3 linked regions of the Lytechinus pictus genome follow. The protein of the gene in region 2 interacts with the protein of the main gene of each other region in a pairwise test. Links are inferred from orthologs where the notes say so. Each region holds a gene or a part of one and is shown on either strand. Other genes may lie near its edges.

Evidence for each region.
Region 1: the proteins of ras-related protein Rab6-like (region 2) and GRIP and coiled-coil domain-containing protein 1-like interact in a two-hybrid assay, tested with the Drosophila melanogaster proteins (2 studies listed by BioGRID). The link is inferred for Lytechinus pictus from reciprocal best matches to the Drosophila melanogaster genes Rab6 and GCC88.
Region 3: the proteins of ras-related protein Rab6-like (region 2) and golgin subfamily A member 1-like interact in a two-hybrid assay, tested with the Drosophila melanogaster proteins (2 studies listed by BioGRID). The link is inferred for Lytechinus pictus from reciprocal best matches to the Drosophila melanogaster genes Rab6 and Golgin97.

What each region holds. Positions count from the first base shown.
Region 1 is NC_087253.1:17,720,085-17,727,461, forward strand, and holds the start of GRIP and coiled-coil domain-containing protein 1-like, read right to left. Parts: upstream 3,071-7,377; 5' UTR 2,983-3,070; intron 126-2,982; 5' UTR 95-125; coding exon 10-94; intron 1-9.
Region 2 is NC_087260.1:28,911,375-28,918,557, forward strand, and holds the start of ras-related protein Rab6-like, read left to right. Parts: upstream 1-4,069; 5' UTR 4,070-4,219; coding exon 4,220-4,289; intron 4,290-7,183. UniProt on the Drosophila melanogaster protein: Protein transport. Regulator of membrane traffic from the Golgi apparatus towards the endoplasmic reticulum (ER). Mediates membrane trafficking during egg chamber growth and organization, possibly upstream of exocyst component Sec5.
Region 3 is NC_087259.1:7,939,365-7,946,861, forward strand, and holds the start of golgin subfamily A member 1-like, read left to right. Parts: upstream 1-4,455; 5' UTR 4,456-4,695; intron 4,696-5,567; 5' UTR 5,568-5,663; intron 5,664-6,815; 5' UTR 6,816-6,977; coding exon 6,978-7,007; intron 7,008-7,497.

The sequences.
Region 1 (7,377 bases), on a different chromosome or scaffold from region 2:
AAGTTTCACCTCTCAGTCTTCCCTTGTATCGGTCTAATTCCTCCTTCTGCTTCTCCACCGTTTCTAGAAGTTCTTTTCTGTTAGTTCTATCCATTCCTGATCCTTTCTCACATCACAAGTAAGCACTGCAGGAAAACAAAATCATAGCACAGTAGAATCAAAGATACTACAAGGGGAAGATCGGACACTTCGGCAATTTTTCGAAACACTCCCAAACGCTCGATAAATGCTCATGGGGAAGGACGCCCACTGGCGTTGAGTAAGTAAACCATCGCTCATCAGCACGTAGCTGTGTATAAAACATATGGGGGAAATGAGAGAGGGGATTTTGGAGAGGGCTCAAGGGTTGCGCCTGGGAGTAATTCCACCTTTTACTACCCAGAAACCTCTGAAATATATTCACTCAATGAAAAAAATTCTAAAATGTAAAAATCGTCTATTCCTTCTCCCCTTCAGCATTCCCCTCATGTTTTGTACACAACCATCAATTATCCATACTATCACAGATTTGTATACGATGGTTCCCATTTCAGCGTATTGGGTAAACTAGTTTGCTCCGCTCGCTGAAATGGGAACCTGAGTGTGTAGAAAATTTTCCATAGATTTGTACACACTTGTTCCCATTTTGAAGAGTAGATAAAGACAGTTCATTAATGAGATTGATTACATCAGTGATGAATAAATCTTACTACTAAACTGTCTTTATCTACTCGTGTAAACGGGAGCACGTGTGGACAACTCTGTACAATTTCATGGGTTTTCCATAGCTGGTTCCCACTTTGAAGAGTAGATATATAGAGAGTTTATTAAAATGATTTATCCCCTTATATATCTTGTCTGTGGTTTAGTTAGAGAATCGATTCTGAAATCATTTTTTGGTTAACTTTGCGAAAGTGGTAGAGTGGTCTTGAAGAGCAAGGAAATGCAGGGTAGAATAGACGGATTAATGACAAATTACAATTCCATATTTGGTTAATAAAACCATGCATGGAATCATCAAATTCATCTGAAAATTGCCCATCCATGAAAATGTGAGCCCTACAAATATCGCGCAAGGAAAGACATGAAAGAAGGAACCAGTTGTGTGAAGGAGAGCTTCGCATCGTAAACAAAGCATTTAGCATCAATTTCTTTTGAAAATCGTTCCAAGGTGTGAAGGCTGAAGTGAGGATTCTTTCAAGTTTAAAGTTCAATGTTTTGAAATAGGTATAGGCTAGGCCAAAGTCTAAATTACTTATCGTGCTGAAAAGTGAAACTGAATAAAAAATTTGATTTGGCGGCTTTTTTGCCACAAAACGTAGAATTCAATGTCAATGGCCTAAGTAAGTTAACTCTAGCTCTTCAACGTCATCACATTCACACTAACAACAGGCCATACTGCTAATTTAGGAAGCTAAAGTTATCATGGTTATTGAGCTGGATAATGACTAGACAGGAGTAAACGTCGTTACAGGGGATTTATTTAACAATTTCTGATTTATGTATTGGAGAGTGGAGCCAACGTAGTTCAGCGGAACAACCAAATACACAGACTGAAGCTTTTGGTCTAGATAATGACTAGACCAAAAGCTTCGGTCTCTGTTATGTTGGTTGTTCTGCTGAACTCCGTTGGCTCCACTCCCCGGGGGGGCCACTTCCATTGACGAGTGGATACCATGCACGACCATGGGGTCTCGAAAAGCACCCTAAACACGTATTTTAATTTTTCTGAAAATGCATCCCTTAACAAGTATTGGCGTGTGTAACCATACCCTTAACAAGTATTGGAAACAAAACGATACTCTTGGCAAGTTCCCTGAATTGACCCCCTAAACAAGGACAGCGATATTTTTATTTTTCATTGTTATGTCACGGACGTCAGTCGTCGGCCTACCTTCACCCACATCATTGGGTTTAGTACAGCCCCACCTTCCACATCTCGCCCAAATCGTACTCTAAACACGTAGTACGTGTTGACTCTTGGGGCAATAGTACATCCTTTATAAAACATTTTAGTATTAATTTTTTACACCCTCGCAAATTTGACCCTAATTAAACGCGTAGCTTTCCTAGCGAAAATAGATACCCTTTTTTCATCATTTTAGTGTTTTTGACACCCTTATCACGTTACGTACGTAACGTGCCCTATCTTGAAAAAGACATCCTTTTTACGTGTTTTTTTTGTCGCGCATGGTATCCACTCGTCAATGTAAGTGGCCCCCCCGGGCTCCACTCACCAATGAATTACAGAGACCGAAGTTCTAACTCGATCTGTACAGGGACTCAATCATAATAATGGCCTTATGTTATGTTTATGTATTAAGTTCGGATCAACCAGATAAGTTGGAGTTGCACGACAGCTGAAGTAAAATTTAACTAAAAAGTCAATGTTTGTTCCCCTTTTTCTGTTTATTTTTTCCCCGTTTTGGTGCGTTTCAGGCCAAAACGGAATAATAATCTTTATTTTGGTCCAGTTCTCTTTATTCATTTTTATTATGAAATAAAGAAAAAAATCGATGAGCCCCGTCGAGGCCGGGATTTTGCATTGTAAATAAGTTTGTAAACCCCCTGGTGGCTGCACGATAGCTCGATAGCAAGCCGTCTGTGTATGAGAAATATAAAAAATGTTTAAAGACTCCTCGAAACAGACGGCTGCCAGCTGTCAAGATAATGACGTGACTGCGCTTCACTTGACTCCGCAGCGCAGAAGATCGCGTCGCGCAGCAGTGGCCAGTGCCATTGCATTGACTGGTGGAAATGCCACGGGACGGGCTCGGTTCGTCACCAGCAGCAGATGCCGCGCCATCGGCTCCAGCTCCATCACAATCACATCAGCTCAATCAGGTTCGGAAGAGAGAGCCCGGGAAGTGAGGTGATTACCCGGGCTATTTTTGATCGGGCTAGTCATGAACATAATGAAATACCGGTCTGTCATCAATTTGTTTGAAAAAATACTAAATTACTAGTTAGATTACTACATAATTGTTCCGAATTAATACTTACTGGGGCTTTTAGACTGCAGTATCTTTTTCCTAGATATGATGCGTCAACTGCAACGTTAACGACAACGTCACATTTTGTATGGGAAGCCACTGCACTCTTAGCTTCGATGTATGACAAGCTGATATACCACAATGTTTTCGTTTTCTTTGTCATGATTTCCCTCATCATGCTCATGGGCTTAATAAGTTCTTTTTGTCTAGAAATCAGGATATCATATGAGTATACAATGAATTCCAGTCACAAATTTCTATATTATCTTTAATCCTGTTAAGGTTAATCTTTTTTTTTTTTTTAGTAGGACAGTTTTTTTTTTTCTATCTCTACTTCCTGGTTTTCCATTTCTCTCCGTGCAATGAATACAAGGAAAATTTTTACTTTCAGTTTAACCCCTTCCCCGCCCCCCCCCCCCTCGCACACCCGGTCATCCTTAAACATAATGCTTGTTCCAGACTGTTAGACCTACCCCTTCCACGGTGGAATAAGTTTATTATTATTATTATTATTATTATTATTGAATGGTTTATTTATTTCAAATATTCACTGAAAATAGCAGCCAAAGGCTGAATTACATTCAGTTTACAAAATAATGGTATACAGACATTGGAATAAAATAGGCAAATATCAAAATATAATTATTCTACAAAATAAATATACATAAATATGAAAGTAATTGAAATACCCAGCATATGAGAAGAAAGCCTCAGAGAATAAAGTACACTGTGGTAGTGAGAACATATGTTAGAACGCAAGACAAAATGAAATAAGAGGAAGAGAGGGAGACAGGAACAAAGTTAAAGAGATTGGGTATTTAACAAAGATGGAAAAAAAATATCGGAAATAGTCATTATAATGCAACAAATGAAAAACTAAGGAAGAAACAAATTAAATTGGAATACATGTTTCTAAATCAGTGCAACGAAAGGAATTCAGAACAGTTCAATAATTACGGAAAATTACATCTTGAATAACATATAATTTAGCATTGTTTTGACATTCAAGTACTGTTTATGCAGGAAATAAGTATGAAATTATCCAGGTAGGTATGATTTGTCATTATGAAATAATATTTTGTCATAAAGGAGTATTTGGTTTAAAAAAAAATACATGAGTAGTTTTATTAAAAGAGGATATATAAAATAGATGAGTTCTATAGGAAATAATTACTTGTATTTACCTATGTATAAATCAAAATAAACAAAATATGAATATCAAATGTAATTAAGTTACAATAGAAACATTTTGGGAACAGCCAGTGGAAACATTCAGTTGGGTGTGTAAATGATTATAATAATATTTATTCAATATATTTACAAGATATGGGATTGACTGTCTCTTAATCTGTTTGTCCTGAATCTAAGTTATGTGTATGGGGTGGTCTAGAATGCCTTGTTGATCGAAGTTCAGTGTTTTTGTTTACCCTAGCTATCACATGTTTTGGGGAATTGGGAAACCATGCAGGGAGCAAGGTCATCATTCAATACGACAACTTACTGACAACTTTTCTTAATTTCGATTGGCTGAGAAGCACAGTTCCCATAGTAACTGTCGGATAAAACAGGAGAGTGTTTCATGAAAGGACCTGTCAGACTCAGAATTTTTTTTTCGAAAAGTCAAATTTTATCCGACATTTAGCATTTCGTAACAGTTCTTTTCAGCCGATCAAATTCAAGTCGGATACTATCGTCCGACAGGCGGCAAGTTCTTTCATGAAACGCGGGCGTCTTGAGATATAGGGAGCGGAATTGGGAAATTTCTCGGGGGAACAGTGCCCCCGACCTAAAGGCTTACCCACCTGCATGCATTTTGCAATTTAGATGGGGATTATGACGTCATCTCAATAAAATAGTAAAAATAATAATTATGTCAGTGAATCTTTTTACTATAGGGATCCCTATTACCTCTCGAGCGAGTCATTTTCGATTTCTATATAGGCCTATAAAACATTTTCGAAATGTTTTCGCGCTGCCCCTCCCTCTAAGGCACGCTAGCGCATATGGAGATCAAAATTTATTTAAAACATAAAAACATTAATCTATGTAATGTATTTAAAAAAAGCGAAAAAATCGGTTCACAGAGAATACATATTTTGTTAGAAAGTTAATGTGAATGAAAAGAATAACAATCAAACAACCTCGCTAAAAATTTCATTTAAAAAACGGATGTGAGAAGGGAAATTTCGACGTATTAAACTTTTGCTTAAGTTCCCAAAACAGTTATTGTAGTCAATATGCAAATGCGGATAACGTCACTCACTCACTATTTATTTTGCATATTACATGAAATCCTTTCATCGTTTCATGATGAATTAAAGTTTGATTCTTCCCTGATGTCAATTTTCCATTTCAGCAACTTATTTTGAAACAGATACTTCCTCAGATCTTCTTCATATAACAAAATGCAAAAGAAATTGAGTGCATGAATATTTAATTACCATCTTTCTCATTTGCATACTCTTTTATGTTGTTTTGCAAAGCTTTAAAATGCAATATAACTTGCTTATTTTACATCCGATTTCAATGATTTTTTTCCCTGCATGTTTACGCATATATGATACTTCATGACTTAAAATTTGCTTAAAAATCCCTCCTCCTCGAATCGAATGTGTGAAATTTTAATCTTAATTGGATTTTGCAAATTGCCCTTAAGTCAAAGGGTACTATAGCAATTAAGACCCGCCGTTGTTACGTGTAAAGCCTAACCGATTCTAAAGATTTAAATTGGACTATAATTAATTGGGAATAGTGTAGTGTCTATTGCTTCTAATCAGTAAACTTATAAAAAATGAAACGTACAATGTATATCTGAATTAATAGGCGTGATATTCTTTGTTCAGCAATAAGCGATAAATGCCACCATCGATTACGTCACAATAGCAGGACGATGGTCAGCTGCTGACCATGACCATGGATTTTCACTAAATTCCGTGACCATGACCTGTAAGACATACACAATAGCGAGTGGCATCATCATTGGGGATGGCGACAATAAACAAAATCCGTTGAATAGGCCTATGGCGCATCTGTATGAATAGGGTTGTTTGAGCGCGAAACGCACAATGAAATTATGTACCATTCAGACTCGAGAGGATATTGTAAATTTTTGTTGTCATGAACAGGATGCGTATGTATCTCAGGGGCCGCGGAACGGTTTTGAAAGTGGGGGGGCTGAGTGCTGACCATGCTAAAAATCACAATCATATGGTCATTTTTACGTTTTTGTACACGGTTTTGGAAAAAAGTGGGGGGGGGGGGGGCTGAAGCCCCTCCAGCCCCCCCCCCGGCCCCTGTATCTTAACATATAACGCGAGCGTCAATCGAAACTGTAATAATTTGTATACTGACCCGAAGAAGTGTTTATAGGATGTTCAATTATTTATTTAAATGTAAGCTGATTTTCTATTTTTAATCCAACCACCCCAGTAATCGGACACTAAAACTTGATGTAAAAACTTGATGACTGACTGGAATCCCCGCACCAAACTACTGATATCTAATTTATTACTTTGTATTCTTGCTTTTTAATATTTATTTTTCCTTTTACTATTTTATCATTTATTTTTAGGAATGGGCTAAGAATTTCAGGACATACATGCAATCTTGTTTATAGATTTTTAAAAAGGCAATCACTAATTTGTTAAGGCTCGATCTTTTACTTATGGAAATGGATATGGGGCACTAAAAATCATCAAACGAAAAATTCAAATCTAATGATCAGTAGATGAAATATAAATTCAAGATATTAAACTTTATAAGATCTGAATTTTTGAGGTATTCCCTTATAATTCACATTAAAGAACTTTTACCAAGGCTTCTGACAGGCTTTGAACTTGACCACATATATGTACAGTGCAATCCGTCTATAGTGATCACCCATGGGAAAGACAAAATAACACTTTTTATGGACAGGTGGTTGCTATAGACAGGTTCAAATCCTCATAACTTGCCTCAGTGGGAATCACTTTGGGTTGTCACTATAGGCAGGTGGCTGCTAAATAGAGAAGTTATTATTATTTGTTTGGCGTCACCTGTGCCTGGGAGGCGACAAGGGAACTGAATCACTGTGACCCGCAGGTCTCTCCTCCCGATATAACTGATTGGGGGGATTGCAGGTGGACCACTACACCGCGGTTTCCCCCTACTCTTATACGAATAGTACAATGGGTTCTTAACGTGCAAAGGTGGCGACTCTCCTCTACACGGGGCCTCCATTTAATGTCCTAACTGAGGGACGGAGTGTTTTCTATTGTAATATAGCCTGCGTCTATGAAACATGGGAGAGACGTTTACACACAACGCACTGGCTTCGGTCATCCGCCCGGGGTGGACTCGAACCCACGATCTTTGGTTCAACGGGCAGACGCGTTACAGACTGAGCCAACAAAGATGAGGTGGCTGC
Region 2 (7,183 bases):
AAATAAATCAAGTAAATCAAGTAAATTAAAAGACAAGTTAAAACTACTTAAAAAAACGAAAAATAATTACAAATTGTAAATTCTACATTAAGTGTTAATTACCGATTCAGATTTTTTTTTTACAGTGTACTTTTCCTTTTTTTAAGGATGTTGTATTGCCTTCTCTCAAATCAAAATACACATTCACATTCCATAAGCAAGTTGTACAAACTATTTGAAACATGATTAAAATTATACAATAAATCCATAACAAATATAATTATACAAATTATACATCAAACTTCAAAGATACTAGAAATTAATACTAATGCGTTTCAGCAATTACAAAATGAAATGTTAACAAGATGTGTGAAATGATATGAGAGGGAAAAAAGATAAAAAGTGTTGTTCTACCTCCTAACCCCCCCCCCCCCCGTCCCCAGGTTAGGAGCACCCTCCCATTTTTATGCCTATAATCTACATGGAAGGGACTACAATTCTCCGTATTGTTTTTTATTTTTTTCTGTGTTTTTGTTTATTTTGTTTTGTGGTTTTGTCTCTCGTTGTATATATACATTTGCCTCACTCTCCCTATACATTCTTTTAATTAAGATTTTCCCATTTCCTTAAATGTAGAGACATCTTACCTCTACCTAGCGCCAGTCTTCTTTCTTCCCATTCTTCTTCTTTAAATTTCCTTTTAATTTCATCCATGGTTATAAGTGCACCCTTTTCCCTCCCTTTGAAGATTAAAAATTTGACAAATAATTGACTAAACGTTCCTTTCCTTCGTCCTTTAATTCTACACCTACAAGAATTTCCTCCCAGCTTAAATTACCCGTAGAAATAAAACCAAACATCTCCTTACAATTATCCCAAACCAGACAAGCATATTCACATTCCAAAAATAGATGGCGATATGTTTCCTCCTCTTTTTTACAATAACAACAAAGATTATTCTGTGAGATTTAAAACGGAACAAGTGATAATTTGTATAAGCAATGCCGTGCAACATTTTAAACTGAAACTCTCTTAATCTACTGTTCAGAGTACATTGTCTTGGTCTCACAAAAATGTGTTCAATCTTTTCATAAGAAAAACTATATTTGTTTTTTTAACCTTTCGAAAACATCAGGTATTGCGAAGTTACATTTCATAAAATTTGCATAAACGTTTTTAGATACTAACTCCTCTATTGACAAAATTCTTTTTCCAGATATAAATGATATTTCTTCCCTAAAAGAAGCCTCTTTGCTATCTATTTTCATATTTCGTTTCCAGCTGACTGGAAAAGTTTTATAAATTGACTCTATCAAATGAAAATCATTTATGTTTAAACCCTGTCTTCGGAAGTACGAAAATGACCTTCAGTTTCCATCATAATCCATATGTTTCAATCTGTAAATATTTTTTTCATATATTTTTTGGTTAAATATGCATTTCCCTTCAATTCGTAAAAAAATTATTGTTAAAACATATCTCATTTCCTTTAAATGTTTTAGATTTTAATTCTTCGTCTCTATCCATACTTTTTAACAAATCTATATAAAATTGCGGCAATGCTATCTCCATCAATCCGAGCAAGTAATCGCATGAAAATATAAAATTTCCTCCCAGATGTTTTGTGGAATAATTGAAATATTGTTTCCATTTCATTGCATTATTTTCTTTTAGTCTTTTAATCCACATAACTCTCTGTGCCTTTATTAACCATTGAAAATTCATCATTTTCAAGCCGCCTTGATGGTAATCTAAATACATCATTCTTTTGTTAATCTTTTGTTAATCTGCCACCCCACAAAAAAGTAAAAGCCAACTGATCAAGTACAACATAAACCCATCCTGGGATTGGTGTGAGAGATGCCACATATATGAATTTTAAAAATATAAATTGCTTTAATAATTGTATTTTGCCCATCAAAGTTAAATCTCGTTACTTCCACCAGTTTAACAACTTCTTTATTTTACTTAATATTTCTTTATAATTCAATCTTTCTTTTACTTCTACATCTAAAGAAAAAAATACACCGAGAATCTTTATAAAATCCACATTTTGGCCAAAAGATAAATCATATTATTTTCCTTCAGAGGAACCTAATAATAAAACCTTCGTCTTATCGCTATTAACTTTAAGTCCTGATACTTTTCTGAATTTTTCTAAAATTTTTATTACTTTTTTGACTGAATCTAGATCTCGGACAAAAATAGATATCATCTGCATACATAATCTGTTTTACTTCTTCCTTTCCAAAGGAAATTCCTTTAACATCATTATTATATCTTATATTATGCGCTATAATATACTTCTATGTATAAAATGAAAAGATATGGTGAAAGCGGATCTCCCTGCCTTACCCCTCTTTCCACATGAAAATAGCTTGTAGAATCTCTTCCATTAAAAATACAACTTTGGCTATTTGTATATAATATTTTGACCTTTTATATATAGTAATCGATCTTTCTCCATCTGTCAGATTTTCTTCAAACACGTGATGGCGCTATTTCATCAAGAATTTCAAGCTGATGTAGGCCTATGATATCACCAAGCTCTGTTGATCTAAAAAAATCATTTGAATGGTTAGTTTATTTTATTCACGATTAAAATACATACAGTGTAAACACAATGGGCATAAAAGTCATGATCAAAGTCAACGATTATAATAATTATGTAACAATATTTGAACAATGAATGTAATACAAACTCATTTTCGGATAATCCGTTTCAGATTGGCTGTGCCACTGTGGCCAATCTGTTCTTCCCCCTGAAAAAACCCTCTTTCTTCAAGGCTTCGAACACCACCGTATCTCAGACTTCCGAACTATTTGCCCCCCCCCCCCTTCACGGGCTTTTCCTACCTTACACCGGCCCCCTATCGGGAGGGACTTCTTACAGGTAAGCTCAGAATATCCCTCCATCCCAGACTCCGGTAAATGTAACCGCCCGATGGCGATGGCCTATGTATCCCCTTACTTTTGAGAAAGAAAATATGTAGTGTTATCATCAAATAGCCGTATCAAAAATGCATTATAAAACCTGCTAAATATTGTGAATTATAAAAACACGAAATCTCGCGCTCGGACGCTCAATAAATTCATAACATAATTTTGGTCCCGATAGTATGTCATAGCCTTGTTGCAAGGGTTACACTAGAACCTTTGATCACAAAATAATGCCTCAAATACCTTATAGCACCCTAATTTCTTTACATAAGAAGGTATATCATGAATTGTTGATTAAAAACCCATATTTTTAAACTATTTTTTCCATTTATCGACTTGAAATAAGATTTAATCTCATGTAACAATATATTAAGTATTTCATTTTTTCAATTATTCATAATCATTCCTTTCCCTCTTTGCATCAAATAATCGTTGATATGAATTGAACTAAGAGCATTTTTTGTTGGCCATAAAACTTTTTTTACACCCCTTCCCCATTTGGCAGTATTATAAACCCCATTATTCAACTTGCCTGATGTTCTGCGTGCTATTCCCACTTACTGGATGGTAAGTGATTGTGGTCTGCATGAACTTGACATACATACATGATCATCATACTTTAGTCCTCATTATTTTGCTCGTTTAATTATAAGGCATTTTCAAAGTTTATTTTCTGTGTCCGAATTCTTACTTTAAGTATACACTCCCCTTTTTCTTCTCCTCCTTCTTTTTTTCTTCTTCTTCTTCTCCTCCTCCTTCTTCTTCTTTGATCTTCTTCTTCGATCTCTTCTTCTTCCCTTTCTTCTTCTTCTTCTACTTCTTCTTCTTCTTCAAGTTCTTTTTCTTCATCATCATCTTCTTCTTCTTCTCCGAAGTTCTTCTATCCCTTGGTTTTCTAATCTTTAGTCTCTCAATTTTCTTTTTTGTTGTTGTTGCTTAATTACAAATAAAAAAACAACATGTTTCTTGACCGTGTTCCTTGTGAAAGCCCTCAAATGTGAAGTTTCCCAATTACAATGCCGGGAAACACCTAACTTGAATATCGCTTGCTATTAAATCATTGTTATTTCACCTTATTTCAGGAATGCTTCTATTTATTTTTTGATATAGTTATTTTTTTTTATAATCCGAGATGACGCATCCATTAAGTGCGCATGCGCCGAACACCTCAGAATCTATAACGTGGCGAAGATACCTCCGAGAATCCAGAAGAGATAAGATCATCAAATATCTTGTTTTTGCTTGATTTCAAAACGTTTTAAGAGGTTATCTTTTCAGAACCCCAAATTAACAACTTAGGATGTCTTCCTCCGGAGATTTCAGCAATCCTTTGAGGAAATTCAAGCTTGTTTTCCTTGGCGAGCAGAGTGGTAAGTTTGCCGGTATCGCACTGGCGACGCCCGGCCCCCTTTTCGTGATCGTGTGCTGTATGATATCGTATCCAACGCAAATGCCATTGCCAATGCATGTCTATGTAGAAATAATACGTGTACCGGGTAACAGATGAATGATGCGGCGCTAATGCAGTTTCTCACAGGAACTCTACCCTAGCCAGGAGGCTCCTAGAGAGTAAAAATCATAACGTGTGCTTACCCTCAATGCAATGGAGCCTGGAATTGCTTCCCATACATCTACACACACCGCCCAAAAACCTGAAACTTTCGCCCCCGAGGGCCGAGACTAGCCAGGCGGCTTCTAGAGAGTAAAAATCATTTACTAACGAGTAACGTAAGGTTACTCTCGTACGAAGCCAGGCCTTCTATCTCATAGACCCACACAGAGCCAGACAAAACCTGAAACCTTCACCCCCGAGATTTCTACTTTCCTTCTAAAAGATCTAGCTCTAAATCATGTACATGGGATAAAACTTAATTTCCGACATTTCTACGCTCTCGTTGTTATTTTTAAAACAAGAATTCATCAAAAAAATGAAAAAATATTGTGAAAAGACGGAAGAGACTTGCCCGATGTTTACGCCGCCATCTTGTTTCTTATTGTACTTCCCCAACGTTACGGACACGAGCGTCGCGTAACGTTGGGGAAGACAAAAATTGGAATCGGCGAGTAAGCTCCAACATTCTTCAACGAGAAGAAAATCGGTGCTTAAATGTACATGTATAAATGACAAATATTTGGGGAAAGTTGCTACATATCGTTAGGTAAGTTAAGTTTCATAGAAAACTGATTTTATTTAAAATCTAATAAACAATTCGCACATTCCCGCAATCCCATGGAAGTGTTGCATGCGCTGTGCCTTGATATTCCTGTGCGCCAAGCCTTGAAATAAGCAGTTGCAGACCAGGGGCAATTTTTCAAAAAAATTGCCCCCGGCTCACGGGCTTTTTACAGGAACCGGGGGCAATTTTCTGGAACCAGGGGCAATTAAAAAAAAAAATATATAACGGTGAACCACACTGCAAATTTGTTTATAGTAAGCGCAGCTCCTGCAATTTTTTAATTAGTACATGAATAGCATGCTAAGTAATAGGCTTATTCAAACATTTAAGAAATCAGATTTAAATGTTTAAGTGTGTTTTGACACCCTCACTCCACATCCCCTTCACAACCACACACACATGGGCTTATTTATTTTTCATCTTTAATGAACCACGAACAATGAACCCCCCCCCCAAAAAAAAAAATCTAAATAAATGAATAAAATAAAAATATAAAAAGAGAGAGAGAGGGAGATGGAGAAAGAGAGAATTCAGATCAAATAATAATAAATTTAGAAAAAAATATACAAATTTTAAGGTTTTTTTCATGGTTAGAATCACGGGTGTGGGTGAGTGTTTGTGTGTGATTGTGACTGTGAGGTGCATCTGGATTGCATATAAATTATGTTAAAGAAATAAAGAAATGAAATCAATATCTAACTCAGTCTATTCAAATTCCAGCACACAGGCACAGGCTATGTACATGTATTGTAGGTTCATGTACCTTAAGTTTTTCACAAGTTATTTGAAAATGCAGATCTCCACAGAAAAATGCCTTTCATTCTGGGAGTCTAAATTCTGTGAAAATGTATTCATTAATAACTTAAATATTCATCACAATGAAGAAATCATTAAGTTTTTTGACAGTTTTCAAAAATTAACATGAAATCTAAACTCTATCTGAAACGGAATAATTCACAACTATAAGCTAAGTAATTTTGGATTATTAAGGCTCCGTTTTGACAAGCAAAGTCGGCGACTGTGAGGATAAAAGACTCGTACATCGTATGTGCTGTGAACAGGGATTTATCTCCTGTGCAATTCGAATTACTATATCACAGAATTGTGATATCCCAACTGGAAATGTGTGCATTAGAAATTGCACATGGTGAAGTATGGAAAAACTGTCACCGCTACCGGAATCACGCGCGCACATGTATTACAGAAAAAAAAAGACGGACGTAGCTCAATTTTTATGGTACAGAAAAAAAGATGCACTTGGCAATTTGAAACTGTGCTTATCGTAAATTGAAAGTTACTTGATTTTGGCTTTTCAGATATTTAAATTACATGTATGAAATGGCTTCACTGCTCACTCACGATGGGCGCAATTACCTGGAAAATATTTGCATCCGGCCGTCAAAATTTTGATGATTTGGGGGCTTTATGGGCGCAATTGATGGCTTTATGAGCGCGAATTTGCGCTCAGCGCCGGCTTATTTCAAGGCTTGCTGTGCGCCAAAAGTTATATGCAACGGGTCTGGTGGGGAAATTTGCTCAAAGTTGGCCGATACGAAACTGCATTAGCACCGAATGAATCATGGTATTATGCTATTGGTAATCATTATTAGGCATTATCGTGAAATTGGAAACCATTTTGCGATTTCCACTGGAAAATCAACAACAAGGCACGACTGGTGGCTTCCTATATTCAAATTAACCACTTGCTGGCATATTTCTCCTGTTCTCAATTTAGAATCTACCTTATTCCATCAAACTCAAAGAGCTTAAAGGGGTACTCTGGGCTGAAAATATTTATATAGATTAATTGAGTAAAATTCACAGAGCAGAGCAACATGCTGAAAATTTCATCAAAATCTGATGATCAATAATAATAATAATTTTAAAAATGACACGTAAGAAAATACAAAAGAATAAGTGGTGTTATGCAGTCATCTGTTAGCTCATTGAATATTCATAAAGACATGAAAGATGCAAATCTGGAAAATACCATAACTTTGTTATTCTTTGTCCAATTTTGATCAGATTTTCATTGTTTTGATTGTCTGTATTTTGTTCAAGTCATATTATTTTCAGCCCAGAGCAGA
Region 3 (7,497 bases), on a different chromosome or scaffold from region 2:
TTGGGTAGCATTTGAACTTTATCAAAATTGTGGATCTCAGCAATGTGTTCATGGGAGTCGGGAGAATAGGGGGTGAGATAGGACTTAAGTGGGAGAAGCAGGTTGATGGAATAAGGGTCAACATATCATGGAGCCCCCGCCCCCTCCCTCTTTCACGCCCTCCCCTCCTGTTGAGAGACTGATGGCTATTGTCATGTACGCGTGAAGTCCAGAGCAGAATGTTGATTTAATGATAAATTCTGAATTGGGGCATCAACTTTTTCCTATTAATCATTTAATCAACAATTTATTAGTAAATCAATGAGATCAATCAAACATTCAGTTTTTTCAATAAATTATTTCATTAATCATCATAATCATTAAATTTCTATGATTCAATAAAAAAATGACCATCAGCCACCGGTCACTTGGCAGTTAATATTTGAATAGGCTACAATCCAGGAAGTGAGACAGAGAGAGAGAATGGGGGGGGGGGCTTGAAAATGGAGGTGGAGAGGGGAGGGTACATATGACTTTAAATTTGTAAAAGGACAAAAAGAAGAGGAATGCCCTTTTCTTTGAACCAAGTCTCAGCATATCTCGCCCTCTTGCTTGTAACAGGTACCATCACATTACTCTGACTCTCACGAACACACTTCTGAGGTCCACAAGATGAATATGCTACACTAAAATTACAATTCTTGTTCACTCATGCATTACATTTCAATTTAGTAACTCGTGAAATTTGCCTAAGAAAACAAAACTTATCTTACTCATTAATCTAGCTTAACACCCTTAGCTTTGCAAGTACCAAAGGACTAACCACTCAAAAAACTGTAAGGCTAATTCCTGCCCAGCCTAGCCGAGCTTAGTCTCTCAGGAGGAGGGAAGCGGGGGGGGGGGGGGGGGGGGGGTGGGGGGGGGTTGAGATGGAATGGAGAGAGGGCTCAGGGGTTGCTAAATGTTTTGTTGACTTTTATCCCATCAACGTATTTCACCTGCTTATGTCTTATCTTACCCCCTGTTCTCCTGACTCTCATGAACACATTGCTGAGATCCGCATGATAAAGACAAAATGCTGCACTAAAAATTGCAATTCATGATCACTCATGCATTAAATTTCAATTTAATAACGCATAAAATTTTCACAAACAACAAACTGATCACAACTGATCTTTAATTCACCAAATAACCCTCAACTTTGCAAGTACCAAACGAAAACACCTGAAAGAAATTGGAAGGCTAATTCCAGCCCACCCTAATTTTCATACCCTTTGTTTCAGTGGGCAGTGCTCGCTCAAGCATGAATAATTTTCCAACTTTTTGGTGTCATTTGAAAGTTGACTTTATTGGCTTTCCATATATGTAAGTCTTTTCCCCCAAAGTGATACACTTTATATTTGGCAGCCATTTCAAAAGTGTATAGTTTTTTTTGGGACGCACTGTATATACGACACTGCCAAGCTTCAAGCTCTAGTTCACTCTCTCACTCAGTCAAGCTCAGCTCTTTGACTGTGCACGCCCACTTCCATTGAGGATTCGGGCTGAATCCCACCCCGCCAGTTTAGGCGGCCGAGCTACGTAGAATTGCGATGAAGAGCAGCGGACCGTTCATCGGTTGTTCGCTTCTTGCGACCAGAGAGAAAAGGTGAAAAACTTTAACAAAATCGTGCAAATGCACCAAATTTTATTCTTGTGATGAGAAAATGGAGTTAATGGAATACAATAATGTCCATCTCCTGCGATAAAAGTGGTAACTTGAGGAGAAATGATCACAAAATCAAGTCAGTTGTTGAGCGAGGCCGAGCCGAGCACCGACACAGTTAATACACGCGCGCCTATGGGAATCGCGAGCTGTCGAAAAACGCCTAAAATTACACTTTTTTTTTATTTCAGCGAAAAAAAAAGCAATAGAAAGTGAAGAACATTACCATCAGACCATATCTCTAGAAAATCTTTACAAGAAATTACGAAATGACGGAAAAATAGACGCAAATTTGTGAGAAAAAAAATCTCGTAATGGGTGGGACAACTCGGCCCGCGGTCCGAGTTGTCCCTGATTCTCTACATGTATCCCTTATACATGTACACTCTGCAAAAAAAGTTCTTGGACACTTATAAAAGTTAAAATATTCCATATAGATATTTGATTAAAGGCAAATTATTGTACATGTATGTCAACATCACCAGACAATATTCCTCTTCCAGTACGACATGACATTTTCATGTGAACAGTCACGCATGGGTGGTTAAATGCTTTAAACAATAGCAATGCCAGTAAAAGAAAATTGCAAGAAATGGACCAATCAAATGCTAATGATCATGGCCATCCTGTAGGCATACATTCAACAATTTCAACAGGTGGTTATCATTTGAATTGAATGCTTAGGGATGCATCATGAGATGCATAATGAGATGGATCATTTGGACACTCACTTTCAAGATGAAGCTTTCCAACCAAGAGCGTGCAATAGCAATAGGAATGTTGCAGTCTGGGCAGTCATTTAGACAAGTGGCTTGATATTTCCAAGTTTCACCAACAACAATTTCAAATTTGAACCAGCGGTATTTGGCTCCTGATAAAGTTAGAGACCGCCCTAGGAGTGGTCGACCTAGGGCCACCACCCCTGCAGAAGATAGGAGGATAAGGATAATTTTCTTTTACTTATGCCAAGATACTGAAATTTGACATTTTTTTCATCGACTAGCTTTGACTTAAAATTCCAGTGGAATAGTGATGCATCCAAGGTGGATAACTTTCTCTTCACTTTTAGAGTGGTATTTGACTTTAAGTTTGCTTTTATTCGTTTAATGGATATTTATGCCACACAAACTTTCACAACTGAAAGAATGTCTGATCGTTTTCTTGCAATTTTCTTTTACTGACATTGCTATTGTTTAATGCCTGTAACCAGCCATGCACTGACTGATCCATTTCTTGCAATTTTCTTTTACTGACATTGCTATTTAAGCATTTAACCACCCATGCATGACTGTTCACCTGAAAATGTCATGTCATACTGGAAGAGGAATATTGTCTGGTCATGTTGACATACAATAATTTGCCTTTAATCAAATATCTATATGGAATATTTTAACTTTTATAAGTGTCCAAGAACTTTTTTTGCCGAGTGTATATAGTAGAACGCAAAACGGTTGCAGCGACTCCCATCTGTTAACGTACGATGGATAAACGTATTAAAGAATAAATGGACAATTACATGTACTTCTCTTCTGATGAAATTTTGAAATACAATGTACAATAGAGGGTCATTTTACAGCCTAAAACTTCAGTCTAATAATTGTATTCCCTCCCATGTGAATGGGATATTGACAGATTATCAAATCGTGATTAAAAAAGGACTTCCAACAAAATTTGAGATATCAGGGCCGCATCTTACAAAGAGTTGCGATTGATCCAATCAATCGTAACTCTATGGAAATCCATCAGTGTCATACTTTTGTCTACAGGAAATTTGCACAATGTCCTTTGTAAACAAAGGAGATCACACCAAATTGTCAAGAAATTTATGAATTTATGGATATACATTCATATCTAGATTTTTTTTTTAATAAACATGCATTTTATATATGTTGACTTTGCTGGCTTTCCATAGTTGCAATTGATTGGATTTGCAACTCTTTGTAAGACGGGGCCTGGGATTTGTTTCTCAAGTGACTGGTGGAACCATCAACCTTCTGCCTTCTCAGATATTCCAATTATAGGAATTGCCATTCCGGACCTCCATACAAGTAGCATACATGTATTGCACATGAAATATACAACAGAACTGTATCTGTACTAGCTTGTACATGTATGTATGTGCTATGTACAGTTGTATCTGTATGGTTGATACAGTAGATTCATGTACATGGCATTTTGGAAATTTTTCGATGCGCAAGTGAGTGTTTCATGAAGAGATTTGTCAGTGATTTTGTCACTGACTAATTCGCTCTTAGCCAATCAGATACAAAGGTTTCCAGTAGCTTTTAACAATAAATTGTCAGTGAAAATACTGACAGAGCTCTTCATCAAACGCTGTCCTGGACCCTGTAACACAAAGGTTAGCGATTAATCGTATGCTTGATTTCTACGATTGATTGTACATTGTAGTCAATGGAATCAATCGTAGAAATATGTTCTACGATCAATGCTAATCTTTGTGTTACGGGCCCTGGACCCCGTAATGCAAAGGTTTGCGACTAATCGCTAAATGAAATGTCCTATCAAGATCATTGTTGCATGCGCATTTTGCTCAGTAGACTGACTAGAAACCAAATAGTGATTAATTAATTAATAAGAATTAGTGATTAATCGCTAACCTTCGTGTTATGGGGCCCTGGTCTACAGTGGTTCCTGTAGCACATGAGAATGACAACTTGTCAGGGCTACATGTAGCAACTTTCTAGAAACCTTGCCAAGAATACCCAATACCTAAAATTAACCCATTCATGTACACTGTGTTGTCTGTAGATGTTTTACAAAATACTTATTTATATAATATTGAAAAATTGTTACATCTTTTTTGCTCTTAATCTATTACCCCTTAATTTCAATCTCTTAATAATCTGACCATTACCTTCCAGGCCAAGAAAGACGTTGCTGATAAAGAATCCGAGCTCGGTCATCTGAGAGAGAAAGTGGTGACCTTAGAACAAAGATTACAGGACAATGACCTGTCGCAAGATGATCATATCAAAGCCATCCAGTCAGAGGTAAAAAAAAAAATCATAATATCATTATTAAGAGATATCTTTTCATTAAAATATGAAATTATTTTTGGCCCTCCACGTAAAAATCTTGCTCTGTTCTGTTCATGGTAACTCCTGAAGGAACTCGGCAGAACAGCATTTTGCTGGTAAACGCCAAGCTGGTATATAACCAATTACCTATAGGAAACATGTAACGTCTAGGTTAATCAGTCATAGTGACTGACCTTATTATAGCTTGTATTCACAAAGGTACATGTAATTTCACGTTTGTAGTTTGAAACCATGGTAGCTGGAAAATGGCAAAGTGACATTATTATATTATGTTTCTATGAAATGGGCCACTAATGTAGTTGTATTGTTGTTGTTTTTTCACATGTGAATTGCCCTTTTGCTGTGGTTTAGGCAATCTGTTCATTATGAAATAATGAAAATAATAACATCATACTTACCCAGGGTAGCCACTTCAGTCTAAAAATTGTTCTGCCATTGGGCCCTACTGAGCATGATAATATTACTACCCCATCTTTAGCTGGGCACTCGCGAGTACAGTGGTGCTCAAAAGTTAGTGAACCCCACCAGAAACTGAACATGCTTAAAGTGTACAAGTTCTTCCATGTTTATGATATTTACTTGTGAAGTAAGGTGATAAAATATTACATTCATTTAAGTTTGTTTCTCTGGGCTTGCCGAACATTAGTGTGTTGTTGTTTACATTTAACACTCGGCATGAAGGAAAGCATTTTGTGGTGGGGTTCACTCACTTTTGAGCACAGCTGTAGATGAACACCTTGCAGAGGGATACAAGTGCTGTGATGGGATTGGAAAACCCTCAAGGAGAAAATTGGTGACTCTGTTCCCTTTTTTACATTTCTCAGAGAGACAACCTTGAACAAAAAGTGGAAGAAACCAGAAAAGAACTTGCAGCTGACAGAACCGAATCCAGCGAAAAAATTAGCAGTCTAGAAAACCAGGTGGGTGATCGTACTTACCATTATCATAGGCTGTTAATTTGCATATTCAGATCAACGTTTCTCTATCCCTTAAATCGTTGAACGCCAAACAGGGTAGCAGCAACCCCCCATCCTTTAATGTCTTTTGGTCTTACGCGGCCTGGGTTTGATCTCCTGACCTCCCGATTGTGAGATGGACACTCTACCAACTGAGCCAACACACCGGTACCTTTAACCACTCGACCATGAACAGTTGACGACAGAACCAAGTTATCTAAAGGCTTTAAAACTTGGCTCTATAGAAATTCTATTCCTCTGCATTGTTTATTTTTTTCCCTGATAACCCAAGGTAGGATTTTTGCAGGGTTTCGAAATCCAATGACCTAGGATCAAAACAAAGTCAATGCGCTTGTGTTGTCATATATGTTTCATCAGCCATTTCATCCTGCATGCTGGAAGAACTGCTGTATGTCATCAGCTGAGAGCTTTTTTTGGTTGAGATTGGCCGACATGCTCTTGATTTGACTGTTACACTGGTACATGTAACTATCAGACAATGACAACATGGCAGTGCTGACAAGCTTCCTGAATTGACGCTGAGGTTACTTAGTGAGAGAGAGAGAGAGAGAGAGACAATGCTCAACATTGCAGCAACTGGCAAACATGTCACAATCCTATGATTGAGAAGTATTAAATGCTAAGGTAGATTGCCAATTTGTCCATTGCAAACTCATCCACTCATCACATGGTCTACCTACATTAGTCTAATGCCATTCCGTCCATTAACATTTTGTCTATCAGCCATGTAGTCCAATAACCATTTGGTCCAATCATCACTTTGTCTAATCACCAGTTCATCTATGACCATTTTGTCTCATAACTAGTTGATCTAATAGTAATACCCATTTTATTTTCATTAATTTTTCCCAATTATCACTTAGTCCAATTAGACCAAATGGTATGTGGACTATTTAATGGCTATTGAACCAACTGGTTATTAGACATAATGGTGAGTGGACGAAATGGCAGTGAGACCATGTGGATAGTGGACGAACTTTTGGTAGGCAAAATGATAGTAGACGAGTTGGTGATTGGTATCAGATCAATTGAAAATAAACCAGTGCTATTTCTCAAGTAGTCCCACACCTTATGTTTTTTTGTTGGATCCTGCAGATCGAGCATCTCAACACAAAGATTTCGGAAGACACGGAGGAGCATCGGAGTAGCTTGAGCAGAGCGGATTCGGCCCAGACTCAACTCAGAAATGAAATCTCTGACTTGAAGAGCAGGTTGGATGCTGCACAGAAGGAGACAGGCTCACTTCAGCGGGAATCGATGGTGAAGGAGGCCCAGCTAAAAGCGCAGGTAAGTTTCTACATTTGCCACCCTTCACCCAGGGAGGGCTCGACAAAGGGCGGAATATGGCAAGGAAAAGTGAAGTCTTGATTGCACGAAATGAAGTTGAAATATCCAGATTTTGACAAACGTTCCTAATGGAAATCAACCTTTGAAGGGAACATTATCTCAAGAAGCTGGTAGTTCTGGAGAGCATTTCATTAACGTTTTTGTCCAACAAGTTGTTGGATCTGACAACTTTTATTGATTTTGATTGGCTGAGAAGCACTGTTACTATGGTAACTTTCAGATAAAACGTCTGACAAGCTCATTTATGAAACGCTCCCCTGATCAGCATAATTTTCTAGATCTGGAATAGCGGGATAATTGGCATCTTGGACTGATGGAAATGAGCCTGAAATATAAAGTGTGGTTATAAGTGCCAGTATGAGCCTGAAATAAGTGTAAGCTATGCATGAATGCTAATCTGCATGCAAACGCTAACGCGTAACCTCATTGA